Linked DNA regions of Stegostoma tigrinum. The protein of the gene in region 2 interacts with the protein of the main gene of each other region in a biochemical or structural test. Links are inferred from orthologs where the notes say so. Each region holds a gene or a part of one and is shown on either strand. Other genes may lie near its edges.

Region 1 (8,000 bases), on a different chromosome or scaffold from region 2:
TAATGTCTGGAACTCTGGGAAGACAGCAGGCAGATTTGTGAGCATATGGATTGGAAGCTGGAGTAGGCCATTTGGCCCACCAATACTGCTGTACCATTTAATTCATTCGTGGCTGATCTGATGCTAACCACAGCTGTGCACTCCGACTTTCCTCTGGTAACCCGTAAATCTTTCTCTTATCAATAATCCATCCACTCTGGATCTCCGTCTGAAATGGGTTAGCCCTTGTTTTGAAACAGTGATCCCTAACCCTGGGTGGACCCCACCAGGAGAAACATCCTTCCCACATCCACTTTGCGTGGGGGGTATGGGGCATCGGTTTCGGCCCTTAGCCTAAAGAGATCTTTGGCAAGTCATCACTCCCTAAATCAGTTAGCTCAATTGGTTGGAAGGCTGGCTCACAGCACGGTGCATTGGCAATAGCATGCGTTTGTTTCCCACACCAGCTGAGGTTATCACAAAGGACTCTCCTCAATCTCACCCGAGGTATGGTGACCTGGTTAAACCACCACCTGCTGTCTCTCTAAAGAGGAAGCAGCCCTATGGCCTGATTATCATCATTGATGGTCCCTCACAGACAAGGATGACTCACTACCCCTCTCAGGGTGAGTCTGTAGGCAGCCGTACAGACTGAGGGGGCTACCGCAGGGCTCTGTTACCCTTGGGGCAGAAGGTGGGCACAGGAAGGAGTGAGCAGGGCGTAGGTGTGGCAGCGCGCCCCTTTCCCTGTTTTCCACCCAGCTTCCACTTTCTCCCGACAGTGAGTCTCCAGGAGCTCGGCAACTTCCTGGATGCTCCTCCTCCTCCACTTTGGATCGTCTTGGGACCGATGATTCCCAGGTGCCTGTAGGAATGTTGCACTTCCCCAGTGAGGCCTTGAGGAGGATCACTGAAACACTTCCTCTGTCCCCCTGGGGCCGGCCTGCTGTTTCAGAGCTGGGGGTAGGGCAGCTGCTCAGGGAGTCTCCTGTCGGACACATGGACAGTGTACCCAGCCCATCGCAGCCGGTCAAGGAGGGGGGAGGTCAGGGCCTCAATGCTGGGGTCAAGTCCCACCACCTCCAGAGATGAGTTATAACATCCGGGCTCAGGGTGGCTGGGAAATATCCAAATGCATCTCTGTGACCTTCGGCACTTTTGTCCCTGGGTGCTGTGTGTTAGGTCACCGCAACATTAACTCTGATTTTTTTCTTCACAGATGCTGCCAGACCCACAGAGCTTTTCCAGCAACTTCTGTTTTTGCTTACAGCATCTGCAGTCGTTTTAGTTTTTGTTGTGTGTTAGCGCCTGGCCAAAGACACTGGAGTTGGAGCATCGTTCCTCCCAGCAGATTTGCTGGATCTTGTGTGAGCAGCATTGGTGGGGCTGCTCCAGTGCATTGTGGTGTCTGCTATAGACAGTCTAGATTAGATTCCCTACAGTGTGGAAACAGGCCCTTCGGCCCAACAAGTCCACACTGCCCCTTAGAACATCCCATCCATCCCCCTGTAACCCACACACCCCTGAACACTACGGGACAATTTAGCCTGGCCAATCCACCTAGCCTGCACATCTTTGGGCTGTGGCAGGAAACCAGGGCACCCGGAGGAAACTCACGCAGACACGGAGAATGTGCAAACTCTGGACAGACAGTCACCCAAGGCTGGGTTCGAACCTGGCGCTGTGAGGCTGCAGTGCTAACCACTGAGCCACCGTGCCGCACTAGTGACAGTATGTGTGACTGTGAGAGTGTTTGTGTCTGTGAGTGCATGTGTGTCTGTGAGAGTGTTTATGTGTGACTGTAGGAGTGTGTGTATGTGTCTCTGTCTGTATATGTGCGTGTGTGTGCGTGTCTGTGGAGTTTGTGTGTGACTGTGAGAGTGCTTGTATGCGACTGTGAGAGTTTGTATGTGCCTGTGAGAGTTTGTATATGTGTCTATGTGTATGTGACTGTGAGAGAGTTTCTGTGTGACTGCGAGAGTGCTTGTATGTGACTGTGAGAGTGTTTGTATGTGTGTATGTGTGTGACTGTGAGAGAGTTTCTGTCTGGCTGTGAGAGTTTGTGTGTGCCTGTGACAGTGCTTTTGTGTGTGCGTGACTGTGAGAGTTTGTGTGTGCCTGTGAGTGCGTGTATGTGTCTGTGTGTGTAGTGGGGAGCCTACTGCCTTTCTGATTAAGACCTAGCCTAACTCTACAGTTGCCCAGGTGCCAGCCAACATGATCTGTTTGTTTTCACAGGCCCACATCATTGAATAACAAAACAGCAGGATTTGTTGCCCCCAGGGAGACACCAGAACTAAACAACAGGAAATCTAACCACCCGGTATCACTGATATCAAAGCTCAGGAGTCAAAATACACACTGCACCAGGCTAGTGGATTGCAAATGGTTGATCAGGGACAGCAGGGGAACATGGCAGTCTGCATTTACGATGCATTTTTCATGACCACCAGTCACCTCCCATGTTTCGCAGGTAGTGGAAGGCAAGCCAAATTACACACAGCAAGATCCCGCACTGAGGTAACAGCCAAATACTGTGCTGCCCTCTCTCAGCAACAATTTGCATTTCTAGAGACGGGTCACACAAGTGTTAACACTCGACACTGGGCTGCAAAAGTGCAGACGTCCAAAGATCAAAGAGATGCATTTGGATATTTCATAATCAACCTGAGCACAGACGTTACGACACACCTCTGGAGCTTTTGGGACTTGAACACTGCCTCCTGGCTCAGAGGAAGGGACACTACTACCATGCCACAAGAATCCTCAAGGAAATGTCATTTTTAATCAACAGATTATGACACATCTCCAGGACAGGGGGGAATTTGAACCCAGATCTTCTGGACCAGAGATAGGGACACTAACAGTGCCACAAAAGCCCTCAAGAGGTGGATTTGGAGGAGCTAGAGGGAGTGGCGGAGACGTTGAGGGATTTGGATTTCAGAGTTCAGGGATCTCAGGCAGCCGAAGGCAGAGTGAAGGAAACAGAGATGAGCAAAGAGGCCAGAATTAGAGGAATGCAGAGATCTCAGAGGGCTGTAGGTCACAGAGATAGAGAGGGGCGAGGCCACACAGAGGCGATAAGCATCCTCTCTACAATGTGGAATGCAGGGCTGTCATGGCATGAGAGGAATTTGAAAAACAAAATTCCCTGAGTTTAGGTGTGAGACAGCTCAGTCTCTGTGGATAATGGGGCCAGGCATTCAAACTGCTGATGTGACATTCTGGGACCCAGGCTGAATGCGAAGTGCCTCAGGGCAGTGTTCAGGCCAGAACTTTATGTAAGTCTGGCTGTTCCAGATGACTCCCCACCCCATCTCCAGGGTCCTACTGCCTCTTCCTTCTGGATCATCATTTTCCTATTCCCTTTCTCCAGCTGTCTCTCTCCTCTTCCTCCTGTACTCCCCCTTCCCCATTCCTTCTTCCCACATCGTTGCTCCTCAGATTGCTCCTAATTAGCTGCAGGGATTCAGGAGGAGTGAGTGGAGGTGGGGTTCAATGAGGAGAAGGGGCTTCAGTGCAAAATTGTGGTGGGGTGGCGTAGTTCAAAGGGGGAAGGACTCAGCAAGTGAGGGGGGAGAGGGGTTTCAGTGGGGGGGCTGGGGTCAGTAGGGAGGGAAGATGGGTTTCAGTGGGGGGGTGGGGTCAGTAGGGAGGGGAGAGGGGTTTCAGAAGGAGACAGAGGTCTGTGGGGTGGGGGAAGAGGGGTTTTGGGGGGTCTGTGGAGGAGGGGCAGAGGGGTTTTAGAGGGAGATGGGGGGTCAGTGCGGTGGGGGAGAGTGGTTTTAAAAGGGAGGGGGGTCAGTGGGGAAGGGGGAGTTCAGTGGGAGAGAGTTTAGTGGGGAAGGGGATGCGGGGGGAAGAGAGGCACCTCATTGGGGGAGGGGAGAAGGAGTATGGGGGAGTTCAGTGGGGGAGGAAGGGGCTTCAGTTGCGGGTAGAGGAGATTCACCGGAGGGGTAGGGAGATCGGACAGGCAATCAGTGGGGGAAAGGGGTTGACTGAAGGAGAAGGCAGGTTTGAGGGGTGAATGCAGCACTGGGGAGGTGGGGATTCACATGCGGGGGAAGGGGGAGGTCAGAAACTAAGCTTGGTTTAGAGGACAGGGAGCCCAATGAAGAGGGGAAGATGGCACTGGGTAATGAATAGTGCCCATTCAAGAAGCCGGTAAGAGCTCGATGGAACGAGTGGCCTCCTGTGAAATGGGTGGGAGGGACGGGGAAGGGAATCTGTTCTCTATCCCCAGGACAGGATCGGACTGTCAGGAGTCCGGATGGTTAAAGCAGTTATTTACCCTCTTGTGGAATGAATTGACACTTTCTGATGTAGACACACCCCCGGTGGTTCAGCCCATCCCCTCTCAACCTGGCCCCTCTGTACCGTGGACCCAGCTCTGAGCTCCCACTCTCCACACGCAGTCGCTTTGTTTTGACATGAAATTGGGATTTAAAATCCGGAATCTCTGGGGACTTCTGAGCTCCACTTTCACGCAGGGGATCGGGGACGAGCCGGGATCCCGTGACTCGGGGGCGCGCCTGGGACTTGGCTGTAAATGTGTAAAAGTTTGAAGTGAGAGGAAGCGCAGGGAGAGTGAGAGAGAGCGAGCCTGAGCTGAGGATTGACAGAGCCCCGTGTGCCCAGGTTAGTCACTCACTTAGTTGGCTCTCTCTGTCTGTCATTCACTCTGGTGCCGGCTCTAACTCTCTCTCGCGTTGTACAACATTGCACTCTGATGTCAATGTGCATGCCGGTTTGTCGATAATTAAATCAGGAGTTACTTCTCCCTGTTTATCGCCGGCTGAATCTGTCTGCCTCATCTTTCTGAATATGTGTGAATCTCTCCCTCTCTCACCACTCGAGTCTGTCTCTTTCCCCTTGTCTGTCTGTGTCTCTCATTCTGTTTGCATCCACGCCTCTGTCTTCCTTCCTTTTCTCTGACCCTTTGTCTGTATCTCAATCCTCTCTTTTTCCCTGTCTCTCTCTCTCTCTCTTTCTTTCCCTGTCTCTCTTGTGGCCACGATCTGTGCCCCCATCTCTCCACCCCCACCACCCTCTCTGTGCCCCCATCTCTCCACCCCCACCACCCTCTCTGTGCCCCCATCTCTCTGACCCCCACCACCCTCTCTGTGCCCCCACCTCTCCACCCCCACCACCCTCTCTGTGCCCCCATCTCTCTGACCCCCACCACCCTCTCTGTGCCCCCATCTCTCCACCCCACCCCCTCTGTGCCCCCATCTCTCTGACCCCCACCACCCACTCTGTGCCCCCATCTCTCTGACCCCCACCACCCTCTCTGTGCCCCCATCTCTCCACCCCACCCTCTCTGTGCCCCCATCTCTCCACCCCCACCCCCTCTGTGCCCCCATCTCTCTGACCCCCACCACCACCTCTGTGCCCCTTGCGTCTCTCTGTTCCTGTTTCTTTCCCTGTCTCTCTCTCTCTCTCTCTTTTCTCCACCTTTTCTTTGTGTATTTCTCTCTCTCTCTCTCTCTCTCTGAATCTCCCCTTACTTTTGTACCCTCACACACTCTCTGAAATCAATGTTTGGTTTTGTTCCCAGGACCTTGTCATAGGGGGCTTCAACTCCCCCCACCGAATTGTTGCCTTGTTCCCCACCTCCCCTTTGTATTGGGACATCACATTCCCTGTCGATGTGAGGCACTGGAGGCGTGTAGTCATGTGTTGGACCAGCGTTTTGTTCTATCCAGTAGCTGCTCTGCTGCTGTCCTTACCATTCTGTCAGGTACTGTACTGTGTGGAGATGTGGAGGGGGATTATACAGTCAGATTAATGACTCTTAAACCATAATTAAAGTGGGGGGGGGGTAAACACAGAGAGCGGAAACTCTGGGAATCTGGAAGAGAAAGGTTAAAGTTCTCTGTTCCTGACCAGGGGTTACACCACAACTATTAAGTGTTCTTTTCTCCCTAGAGATTTCTGACCAGACTTTTCTGAATTTCAATGGGTCCATGGTAAATGTGGACCACGACTCTCAGACCAAAAAAAAACCACCCAGTCTCTGACTCATTCCTGACTCATTTGTCTATCGATGTTGTGACTGATGGAGCCACTTATTTCATAATCCTACAGTATATGAGACCTAGTTATTATAAGTGAGCACCACAATGCACAATACAGCCTAGGCACTGGCCATTCAGCCCAATTGCTCCATGCTGTGTCCCTTCACACTGTCTTCAGTCTCCAATCTCCATCAACCTGTCCTGCTATTAGATTACATTAGATTCCCTACAGTGTGGGAATAGGCCCTTCGGCCCAACAAGTCCACACCGCCCACTGAAGCGTCCCACCCAGACCCATCCCCCTATAACCCACACACCTCTGAACACTACGGGCAATTTAGCATGGCCAATCCACCTAGCCTGCACATCTTTGGACTGTGGCAGGAAACCAGAGTACCCAGAGGAAACCCACGCAGACACGGGGAGAATGTGCAAACTCTACACAGACAGTCGCCCGAGGCTGGAACCCGGGTCCCTGGTGCTGTGAGGCTGCAGTGCTAACCACTGAGCCACCGTGCCACCCCAAAGTGTCTCCCTATCAAGGTCCTCCCTCCATACTTACACCTTCATATACATTTGAGGCTGAGGGATAAAGATGCTTGGTGTCAGAAATGAGTATGGGAAGTGAGCAGGAAGATAATTTTTTTTAAGAAGTACAATCATTCATTCAACAGATGTGAACTGCTTCCCTGGAGAAAGTGGTTCAGAGTCAACCACTGGAGGCAGACCCTCAATGCCTTTCAGAAAGGAGTTCCAGGATTTTGATCCAGCGGTTATGAAGGAAAGCATTACATTTCCAAGTCAGGATGGTGGGGAACTCTTGGAGTGGTGTTTCCATGTATCTGCAGGCCTTCTCCTTCTAGATGGCCAAGGTCACGTCCCTGAAAGATGCTGGCATTTTGATCAGTTGTTGCATTGCATCGGCAATGCAATGGCCTAGAGGTATTCTTACTGGACTATTAACCCAGAGACTCGGATAATATTCTGGGGACCTGGGTTGAATCCTGCAGAAGGTGGAATCTGAATTCAGTAGAAATCTGGAATGAAAAGTCTAATGATGACTGTGAATCTGTTGCCAATTGTTGGAAAAACCCACCTGGTTCACTCACGTCCTTTTTAAGGAAGGAAACTGTTATCCTTACCTGGTCTGGCTTACACGTGACTCCAGACTCTTGACTGCTTTGTGGGCAATAAATGCTGGCCTCATCCTGTGAATGAATTGAAAAAACAAATCTTGTAGATAGAGCTGTGACTGAGCGTCAGTGGTGGAGGGAGTGAATGTTGGTAGATATGGTGCCAATCAATCAGGCTGCTTTGTTCTGGATGGTGTCCAGCTTCTTCAGTGTTGTTGGAATTGCACTCATCCAGGCAAGTGGGGAGTATTCCATGACATTCCGGGCTTGTGCCTTAGATAGTGGTATGTTTGGGGAGTCAGGAGGTGAGCTACTTGCTGGAGGATTTCTAACCTATCCTTGTAGCCGCTGTATTTATAGATATTTTCTCATCAACCTGTTCAAATATGTTATGATACACCTCTAGAGCAGATAGGAATTGAATCTATGCCTCCTGGTTCAGAGGTAGGGACACTACCATGACACCACAAATTACCAGCTGCGGTATTTATAGTCCAGTTGAGATTCTGGTCAATAATTTGCAGGATGTTGATATTGAGGGACCTGGTGATGGAAATGCCCCTGAAAGTCACTGGGGTGAGGGTTAGTTTCTCTTAGATTCTTTCAGCTGAAGACTGAAGGTTGCAATGGATGGGGTTGAGGCTGACGATAAGCTGCGATCATATTGAATGGCACTCGGGATTGTATGGTCTACTCTTATTTCTTAGGTTGTATATTCTAACTACTCTCAAGGCAAAGAAACTTCTTCAGAAAATCATAGAACCCTATAGTGTGGAAGTAGGCCGTTCGGCTCTTCAAAGAGCATCCCTCCAAAACACCCCCCCCCCCCCCCCCACCCTAACCCTCCATTTCTCATGGCTAATCCACC
Region 2 (8,577 bases):
AAATAGTATAAAATGGATGCGATTAGGATTAACACATTCTACAGAAGAATGACAGGATTAGTAGGTGCTGAAAGAGGCTGTTCGGCCCATCGTGTCTGCACTGGCACTTCAAACAAGCAACATGCAGTTACCTCCAATCTGAGGCATAGACAGAAATTGCTGGAAAATCTCAACAGGTCTGGCAGCATCTGTGGCGAGAAATCTGAGTTAATGTTTCAGATTCAGTGAGCCTGTTCTAAAGAAGGGCCACTGAACCCGAAATGTTAATTCTGATTTTTCTCCACAAATGCTGTCGGACCTGCTGAGATTTTCCAAACAAAAACAGTTTTTGCTTCAGATTTCCAGCATGGCCGTTTTTGTTTTTTTGCCTACTCCCAATCTCTTGCTTCTTCTCCCTAACCTTGCAAATTATTTACATCCAAACAATCATCCGATACCATCTTGAATGCGTAAATTGAATTCAATTCCACACACATCCAGGCAGATTTTTCTCAGTTCACATTTGCCTCTTTTGCAAATCACTTTAAAAGGTAGAGTCGCAGAGATTTACAACACAGGAAAATGCCCTTTGACAGTCTGAACCTGTCAAAATCACCCTCCTAACTATTCTAATCTCATTTTCTAGCACTTGGCCCATAGCCTTTAATGCCTTGGCATCTAGATATTTCAATGTTATGAGGGTTTCTGCCTGCACCACCCTTACAAACAGTGAGTTCCAGATTCCCACCGCCCTCTGCGTGAAAATGTTCTTCCTCACATTAAATTCTCAAATCTACACCCTCTAGTTCTTGAAGCTTTTACTAGAAGGAACAGCTTCTCCTTATCTATACTATCCAACCGCTCTTAGAGCGATAAAGCCCGGAAACGGACCGGTCCATTCTGGCCGTAAACCCAAACTAAATTAGTCCCACTTGTCTACGCTCGGCCTATGTCCCTCCAAGCATTTCGTCTTCATGTATATGATTTCCAAATGTTCTATCAGATCTTCTCTCAGCCCTTCCCTTCAAAAAGTTCCAACTTGTTGAATTTTTCCTCGTAACTGAAATTAAACATTGGCGGGGATTTTTGGAATTACTGGTCCCATTGTATTAATACCATACCATGGCTTCCCATCTCCTCCTTCCTTGTCATGTCTGAACCAAATAAAATCATTCGGGAAGATGCGCTGAAGATAAAGACATTTGCTGATTTCATATTCTGAATTGATCGCTGTGTTGAAGTGCTATTTTTTGTTTGTGAGGAGTTTAAACTTTATACATTACTGATGAATCCTGTACATTATTATTCTACAAAGGTATTACAACTCAAACTGTCACTTAATAAAGCATGCAGCTTATTGGTGTCACAGAGCTGCTGAAATCATGATTGGTTGTTGCTTTTTAGACTTTAGTTTGATGCGAATATGACCTGGGTCAACTGATAATCTTGCATTCATTCCATTTCCAACCCACTTCGCGCCTTGGGTCATGCACTGAGCGTTCTCTCAATGTGGACTACCTGAGCTGCGCCGGAGCGTTCAACAGCTACAAAAGGAGCTGCGGTAGGTTGGGTTTGAAACGACTGTGAAGACAGAGTGAGGACGTGCTATTGAGCATCTCCAGCCGTAGTGCGGGGCAGAACCGCGCCGCTTCTTCAACCCACCCACAGTGCAACAAAAACTGCGGCCACCCCCAACCCCCATCAAATCCCTCTGGAATCTCCATGCGGAAGGTTTGTGGTTTAATGCGAACATGTCTAATTACATCCAATCTATAGTCTGTTCGGTCAGTAATGTTACTGACAAGTTAAAAAAAGTGAAAATACTCAACAAGTCTGGCATCATGTCTGTTCCATTTCTGTCTTCATTTCAGATTTCCAGCAACTGGAGTATTTTGATTTCGTTTCTACGTTACATTAGAAACGTCAACTGGTGAAGTCTATCTTAAATTTCTGATACAAATAGCGTACTTAACCGAAAATAATCCCACTATTAAGCAATTATAAGTGAGCAATTGCTCGTGTTAGATATTAGGAATTATTAGTTCATCTGCCACACTGTCGAATTACAAGGGTGTGAGCTCCGCTTTATCTGCAATCTCACTTTCAGAACGTCGGAGCTCCGTGTGCAAACCAATGTAGCTGTCCACCTTCCCCAAAAACCGGGCGACTGTGTTCCATTCGCGATGTCACAATTCACAGCGCAAGGGGTTGATTAAAACAGAGATAGTAGTAACTGCAGATGCTGGAGAATCTGAAGTAACAAGGTGTACAGTTGGATGAACACAGCAGGCCAAGCAGCATCAGAGGAGCCGGAAGGCTGACTTTTCGGGCGTAGACCCTTCTTCAGAAATGACCCTAACTCTAACCAGAAGCCTTCTGAAGAAGATTCTAGGCCCGAAACGTCAGCTTTCCTGCTCCTGTGATGCTGCTTGGTCCGCTGAGTTCATCCAGCTCGACACCTTGTTGTCTATGATTGATTAAAACAGTCAGGAGAGAAAAAAAACCTGGAAGTACTGCCTCTACTGGAATCTCAAATCAACGCACGACCTTTTAAAAACGTAGACAGCGAACCTGGAGGTGATGAGAGTCGAGAGAAGGTGCTATGGGTTCCCCACCAGGGAATTCGAGAACAGCAGACCTGAATCACTGCACTGTCTGACGTTATTTTCAAAATCACACCCACTGTCCTTTCGTTGCTCCGCAATAACCAGGAGTGGTTTGTTTTAGCTCAGGTACTGCACCAGTAACGTCGCGCAAGATGTGGGATTTGTCTCTGTTCGCGCACAACCGCTGAGAAAATTTAATTCAGAATTCAGAATGGATTACTGGGAGATGAAGGGCACCTACTGCACTCGTTTATTTCATCGTTATTATAACCGTTACCTTTTTTCGATACAATCCACTAACAGATTTTTCTTTAAATAAAGCTACTGTCTTTCCCCAGAGTAGCTCGTTCGTCATTCCAAAGCTGGTCGACCATCATGTCGCTAACTGGTCCCTTTTCCAGGAGGAGGATACTCACACCTCTAACACTGAGAGCCTTCACTTCCATCAAGTGATGGTTCGCGGGAAACCGCGGGGGCATCCCGCTAAGGATGAGGCAATCAGTTCTCTGTAACTGGTATGAATCAGAATGGATCTTTTCAATAAAGAACAGTTGGTTAAACATTTGGTAAAAGCGCCGGAAGACAAGACAGTCGATTTGCAATACACCAGAAGAAACTACATTTCTTCTTTCTCTTTACAATTGCCATGGTTTTTAGAATTTGTAGAATGTGTAAAATCGAATATTACTTACGCGCTGTAGCTATATTTTCAATCTGATTATAGAGCACAAATGCTATTAAAACGAAAGACATCTTGAAGTGAAGCAAGTGCCGCGTTCCTGTTCAACGCTGTTATGATGAACGCTTCAGTCAATGAAGACGGCTTTCCTCCAAAGGTTAAAAATGTATCGGTTCTCTATGTCAGCCCAATGTTGTCACACACACAGCTCCAGTGTGAAGCCCTCTCTATGTCCAGTACCAACACTGCCCGACTTCACTAAAGTTGTGCCCTTCAGGTCAGCTCTGGTAAACCAGCACAAATTTCACAAATCACCGATGGTATTAACAAATCTCAGGCCGTGAATAATGTATCCAGTACAATTCAGATAGACTACACTCCGGTCATTTCTACTTTGTATTCGGTGGCCCATGCTTTTATACCACTCCCGTGAACTCGCCTCGGAAATGTTACACCCTAGTGACGTCGACAGGAATCTTGGCAGACAAATTGCCTTCCAGAATCTGGACTGTGGTCCTGTCCACGGCCAGTTTGCTATTTCTCTCAGTATGAATTAATTTCAAATTAGTCAGCCAGCTTGGAAACGTTACAAACTGCGGAAATCGCTTAGCTGTTCTGAAGGTTGGTATTGCTAGGCAATTATATTCTCAATTCACAGAAAACAGCGGCCATTATTACAGGAATATTTTATAGCTTTCTCGTTGAATAAATCAAAATAGAACCGTTTCATAAGCGGCGGCGGGGGGGGGGAGATACACCAGAGGCATTATTCTGATTTACCACCCCTACCCACCAGTCCGGCTCCCCTTCCGCCCCAATTCCTAACCATCATCAACCCCCTCCCTCCCCCCCCACCGCGGCGTGTTGTAAAGCAGGACCACCAAAGTGGGTCTGACACAAGCAGTTAATGTGAATAAAAATGAGCTCCTGTATGTCACTTGAGGCTTCCCACGGCTGTCTCCCCCGTCAACTTCCCCCCCCCACCAAAACACACACACAGGCACACACGCCACGCACCCCCGTTTCCAAAACTGGCCAAAACATCAGACAGTTTGTTACCCACACTTAAAACATTGAGAGCTTCCCCAATTCCAGAAATAAGCGATTCCCACCAGACTGCCATTCACTGCAACTAGCATTGCCCACGACTCAAGATTATGCACCAAATCCCTGCATTTGGCATACATATATGCTTTTTTTTGTCCAATGCACCAACAGTTGGATGAGCATTTGACTAAACGCTGTGCGATGAGTCACTGTTTCTAACTTGATGTCGTGATAGATGTCACGGTGGGAGTAGAATGTAAATTCGATTTGAAGAGGTAATGGACACGTTTTGTTGTGTGTTTCCTCATGTGCTTGATTTTCCTGTCGGAACTTTGGCCATTCTCACGGTTGGCAGGAAGGAAACAACCTTATTTGCGTGTTGAGAAGCATTTAAACATTACACAAATGGGGATGGGAGGTCTTGAGGAAGTAGCTGCACATATCGGACATCTAACGCTCAAATAATCAAAAGCTGAATCCGACGTGACACATTTTTACAAAGCGTGTTTTCTGTTCAGAATAAGCCTTTAACCCAGTGGACTGGCCTTGTGCTAATGCAAACCAAAGTAGAAAAGACACTTTTAAGGATCTTGCCACGAAAAGCTGAGCCTGTTTTGCTTTCCCCAGAACACACTCTCAGTGCGTGACTGAAATGATGCCCGCCCTTGCCTTTCCCGCGCTGATGGGATATCGAGCTGGACATCACATGGAGCCTGTGATACTGCGCAAAAAAATACGCAACCAGGCACATTGAACGCTGGGGCCATCTGTCATTTGCTTTAAATTGGGTCTAGATTTTGCTGGGGTTCACCGTCAGAACTTTAAGAACATTAAATAGGTGGTCATAAAATCAAAAGAAGTGATGTGTGACTGCACAACATTTAGCCTCCAAGAAGGAAGCAGACTGGATGTCCACATGCAGGAAAACCTGGATCACATCCAGGCTTGGGCAAATATGTTGCAAATAATAGATAACACAGTGTGGAGCTGGAGGAGCACAGCAGGCCAGGCGACATCAGAGGAGCAGGAAAGTTGACGTTTCGGGCGTAGAGCTGCATTCTACTCCCACCGTGACATCTATCACGACATCAAGTTAGAAACAGTGACTCATCGCACAGTGTTTAGTCAAATGCTCATCCAACTGTTGGTGCATTGGACAAAAAAAAGCATATATGTATGCCAAATGCAGGGATTTGGTGCATAATCTTGAGTCGTGGGCAATGCTGGTTGCAGTGAATGGCAGTCTGGTGGGAATCGCTTATTTCTGAAATTGGGGAAGCTCTCAATGTTTTAAGTGTGGGTAACAAACTGTCTGATGTTTTGGCCAGTTTTGGAAACGGGGGTGCGTGGCGTGTGTGCCTGTGTGTGTGTTTTGGTGGGGGGGGGGAAGTTGACGGGGGAGACAGCCGTGGGAAGCCTCAAGTGACACACAGGAGCTCATTTTTATTCACATTAACTGCTTGTGTCAGACCCACTTTGGTGGTCCTGCTTTACAACACGCCGCGGTGGGGGGGGGGGGGGGGAAAGAGTAGGGAAAAAAGGATCTTTTTTCCAAACAGCACGCAATGCCAAGTCTGATACTATAGGAATCTATGCTTGGTTCCCAGCTATTAACACCATATATTAATGATTTAAATGAGGGAACTAAATGTAAAATCTCCAAGTTTGTAGACTACACATAGCTGGGTGGGAGGGTGGGCTGTGAGAAGGACACCAAGATGTTTCAGTGTGATTTGGACAAGTTGAGTGAGTGGATAAATATGTGGCAAGTGAAGTATAATATAGACAAGTGTGAGGTTGTACACCATGGTAGTAAAACCAGGGAAGCAGACTGATATCTGAATGGCAATGCATTGGCAAAAGGGGATATCAATGAAGACTTGGACGTCCTTGTACACCAGTCACTGAAAGTAAGCATGCACGTGTGGTAGGCAGCATCGATGGTATGTTGGTCTTCATTGCAAGAGGATTCAAATACAAGAGCATGGATATCTTGTTGCAATTGTACAGGGCCTTAGTAAGACCACATCTGGTGCACTGTGTGTAACTTTGGTCTCCTTATCTGAAGAAGGATGTTCTGGCTATGGAGGAAGTTCAACAAAGGCTTACCTGACGGATTGCCAGGATTGAAGACCTCATGCATGAACAAAGACAATATTCACAGAAGTTTAGAAAAATGGTGGGGGGAGCTGGATTTCATAGAAACCCTATAAAATTCAAACACAACTAGAGATGATAAACAGTAGAGAGGATGTTCCTGATGACCAGGAATTCCAGATGCTGGGCTTATAGTCTAAAAATATGAACTACTCATTTAGGACTGAGATAACAAGAAATTTCTTCACCCAGGGAGTGGTGAGCCAGTGGATTTCTCTGGCATAGGAAGTGGTTGAAACAAAAAAAGTGTTTTCAAGGAGTTAGACATGGCACTTAGGGCTAAAGGAATCAAAGGGAATGTGGGAAAGTGGAAACAGCATACTGGGATGGATGAACAGCAATGATTATATTGAATGGTAGAATAGGTTTGAAGGACTGAATGCACAACATCTGCTACTATTTTCTTTGTTTCTATGTTTTCCCAATGCCTTTCTACCATCAAAAAGGCAAATGTAAGGATGTGGTGGAACACTGTCCACTTGCTAGACTCTAGAACACTCAAGAAGCTTGAAAGCATCCAGCACACAGCAGCCCGCTTGATTGGTATTCCATCCATCGCTTTTAACATTCACTCGCTCACTACTGATGCCTAATTGTGGTAGTGTGTACCAACTCCATGATACACTTCTGTAACTCACCAAGCTTCATTTGACAGCACATTTTAACCACCAACCTCTAGCAATTGCAAGGACAAGGGCAGAAGATGCATGGGAAAACCACCACCTGCATGTTCCCATCCAAGTCACACCACATCCTGAGATGGAAATGTACCACCATCTCTCCTCTTTTACTGGGCTAACTTTAGATGTGCCTACAGATCGTGGACTGCAGCAATTCAAGAAAGTGGTTCACCAGCGCCTTCTTCAAAGCCATTTGGGATGGGCAATAAATGAATGCTGACCTGGGTGGTGATGTCCACATTCCCTGAAAGAATGAAAAATAAGGAGCAGGAGAAGCCCAAGTAGTCCCCTGTAGCTGCTCTGCCACTCAATAAGTTCGCGGCTGATCTTGCAGCTTCAACTTCCCCTCATACTCCTTGATTTCCTGTGAGGCAAAAGAAATCTATCTGAATCTTAAATATATTCAATGATGGTACATTTACAACGCTCTGGGAGAGAGGATTCCAAAGATTCATAACCATTTGAATAAAGACATTTGTCCTTATCTAAATCCTAAACAGTCCACTCTTTCCTCTGAAATTGTGTCCTCTTGCTCTGGACTCCCCAACCAGGAGAAACAACCATTCAATCTCTACATTGTTAAGCATTATTTAGACGACACCTTCCAGACCCAAGATCAGTTCTGTCTAGAAGTAAAAGGACAGCAGATACATAGGAACACCATTACTTACAAGTTCCCCTCCAAGCCACTCACCATTCTGACTCGGAAATATGTGGTCTCACTAAAGCCTGGCACAATTAAGCAAGACATTTTAATATGTAACACCTATCTCTATGAGCTCTTGTACATTATCTTTTTATGGGACACCTCATTGAATGCCATATGGAAATTCAAATATACTACATGAACTGGTCCCCATATACTTACATTCTCAAAAAGTAATAAGTCAGTAAAACATTATTTTTCTTTTATAAAACCAGTTGGCTTATTCTCAAACATAAACAGAAGTTGCTGGGAAAACTCAGTAGGTATGGCAGCATCTGTGGAGAGAGCACAGTTAGCATTTCTTCTGTTTGTGTTTCTGATTTCCAACATTTGCAGTCCTTAAAAAAAATCCAAAAGAACGCAGATGCTGTAAGTTAGAAACGATAACAGAATTTGCTGGAGAAGCTCAGCAGGTCCGGCAGCATCTGTGAACAGAAATCAGAGTTAATGTTTCTGCTCTGGTGACCCTTCCTCAGAACTGCTTCTGATACATAGTGCTCTTTTTCTTAAACTTATTTAAATCAAACAATGCTTTTTAAAGATGCATTGTTAAGACTTTCTTAATTATACCACTAGGACTACTCCAGAGACTTGGGAATTTTGGAAAATCATTGCCAGAGCATCCATTATCTCTCTAGCTATTTGTTTTCAAAATGTAGGATGTGAGCAATCAGTCACAGGCATTTTGATTTTAGTCTGATGAGTTTCTTCAGTAATTTTTCT

Evidence for each region.
Region 1: the proteins of flt1 (region 2) and vascular endothelial growth factor A-like are reported together in a solved structure, tested with the Homo sapiens proteins (2 studies listed by BioGRID and IntAct, with this or other methods). The link is inferred for Stegostoma tigrinum from reciprocal best matches to the Homo sapiens genes FLT1 and PGF.

The regions. Positions count from the first base shown.
Region 1 is NC_081392.1:9,087,582-9,095,581, forward strand, and holds the start of vascular endothelial growth factor A-like, read left to right. Parts: upstream 1-4,334; 5' UTR 4,335-4,620; intron 4,621-5,539; 5' UTR 5,540-5,656; coding exon 5,657-5,722; intron 5,723-8,000. UniProt on the Homo sapiens protein: Growth factor active in angiogenesis and endothelial cell growth, stimulating their proliferation and migration. It binds to the receptor FLT1/VEGFR-1. Isoform PlGF-2 binds NRP1/neuropilin-1 and NRP2/neuropilin-2 in a heparin-dependent manner.
Region 2 is NC_081359.1:79,184,112-79,192,688, forward strand, and holds the start of flt1 (vascular endothelial growth factor receptor 1), read right to left. Parts: upstream 3,694-8,577; 5' UTR 3,339-3,693; coding exon 3,278-3,338; intron 2,728-3,277; exon of another isoform or gene 2,551-2,727; intron 1-2,550. UniProt on the Homo sapiens protein: Tyrosine-protein kinase that acts as a cell-surface receptor for VEGFA, VEGFB and PGF, and plays an essential role in the development of embryonic vasculature, the regulation of angiogenesis, cell survival, cell migration, macrophage function, chemotaxis, and cancer cell invasion.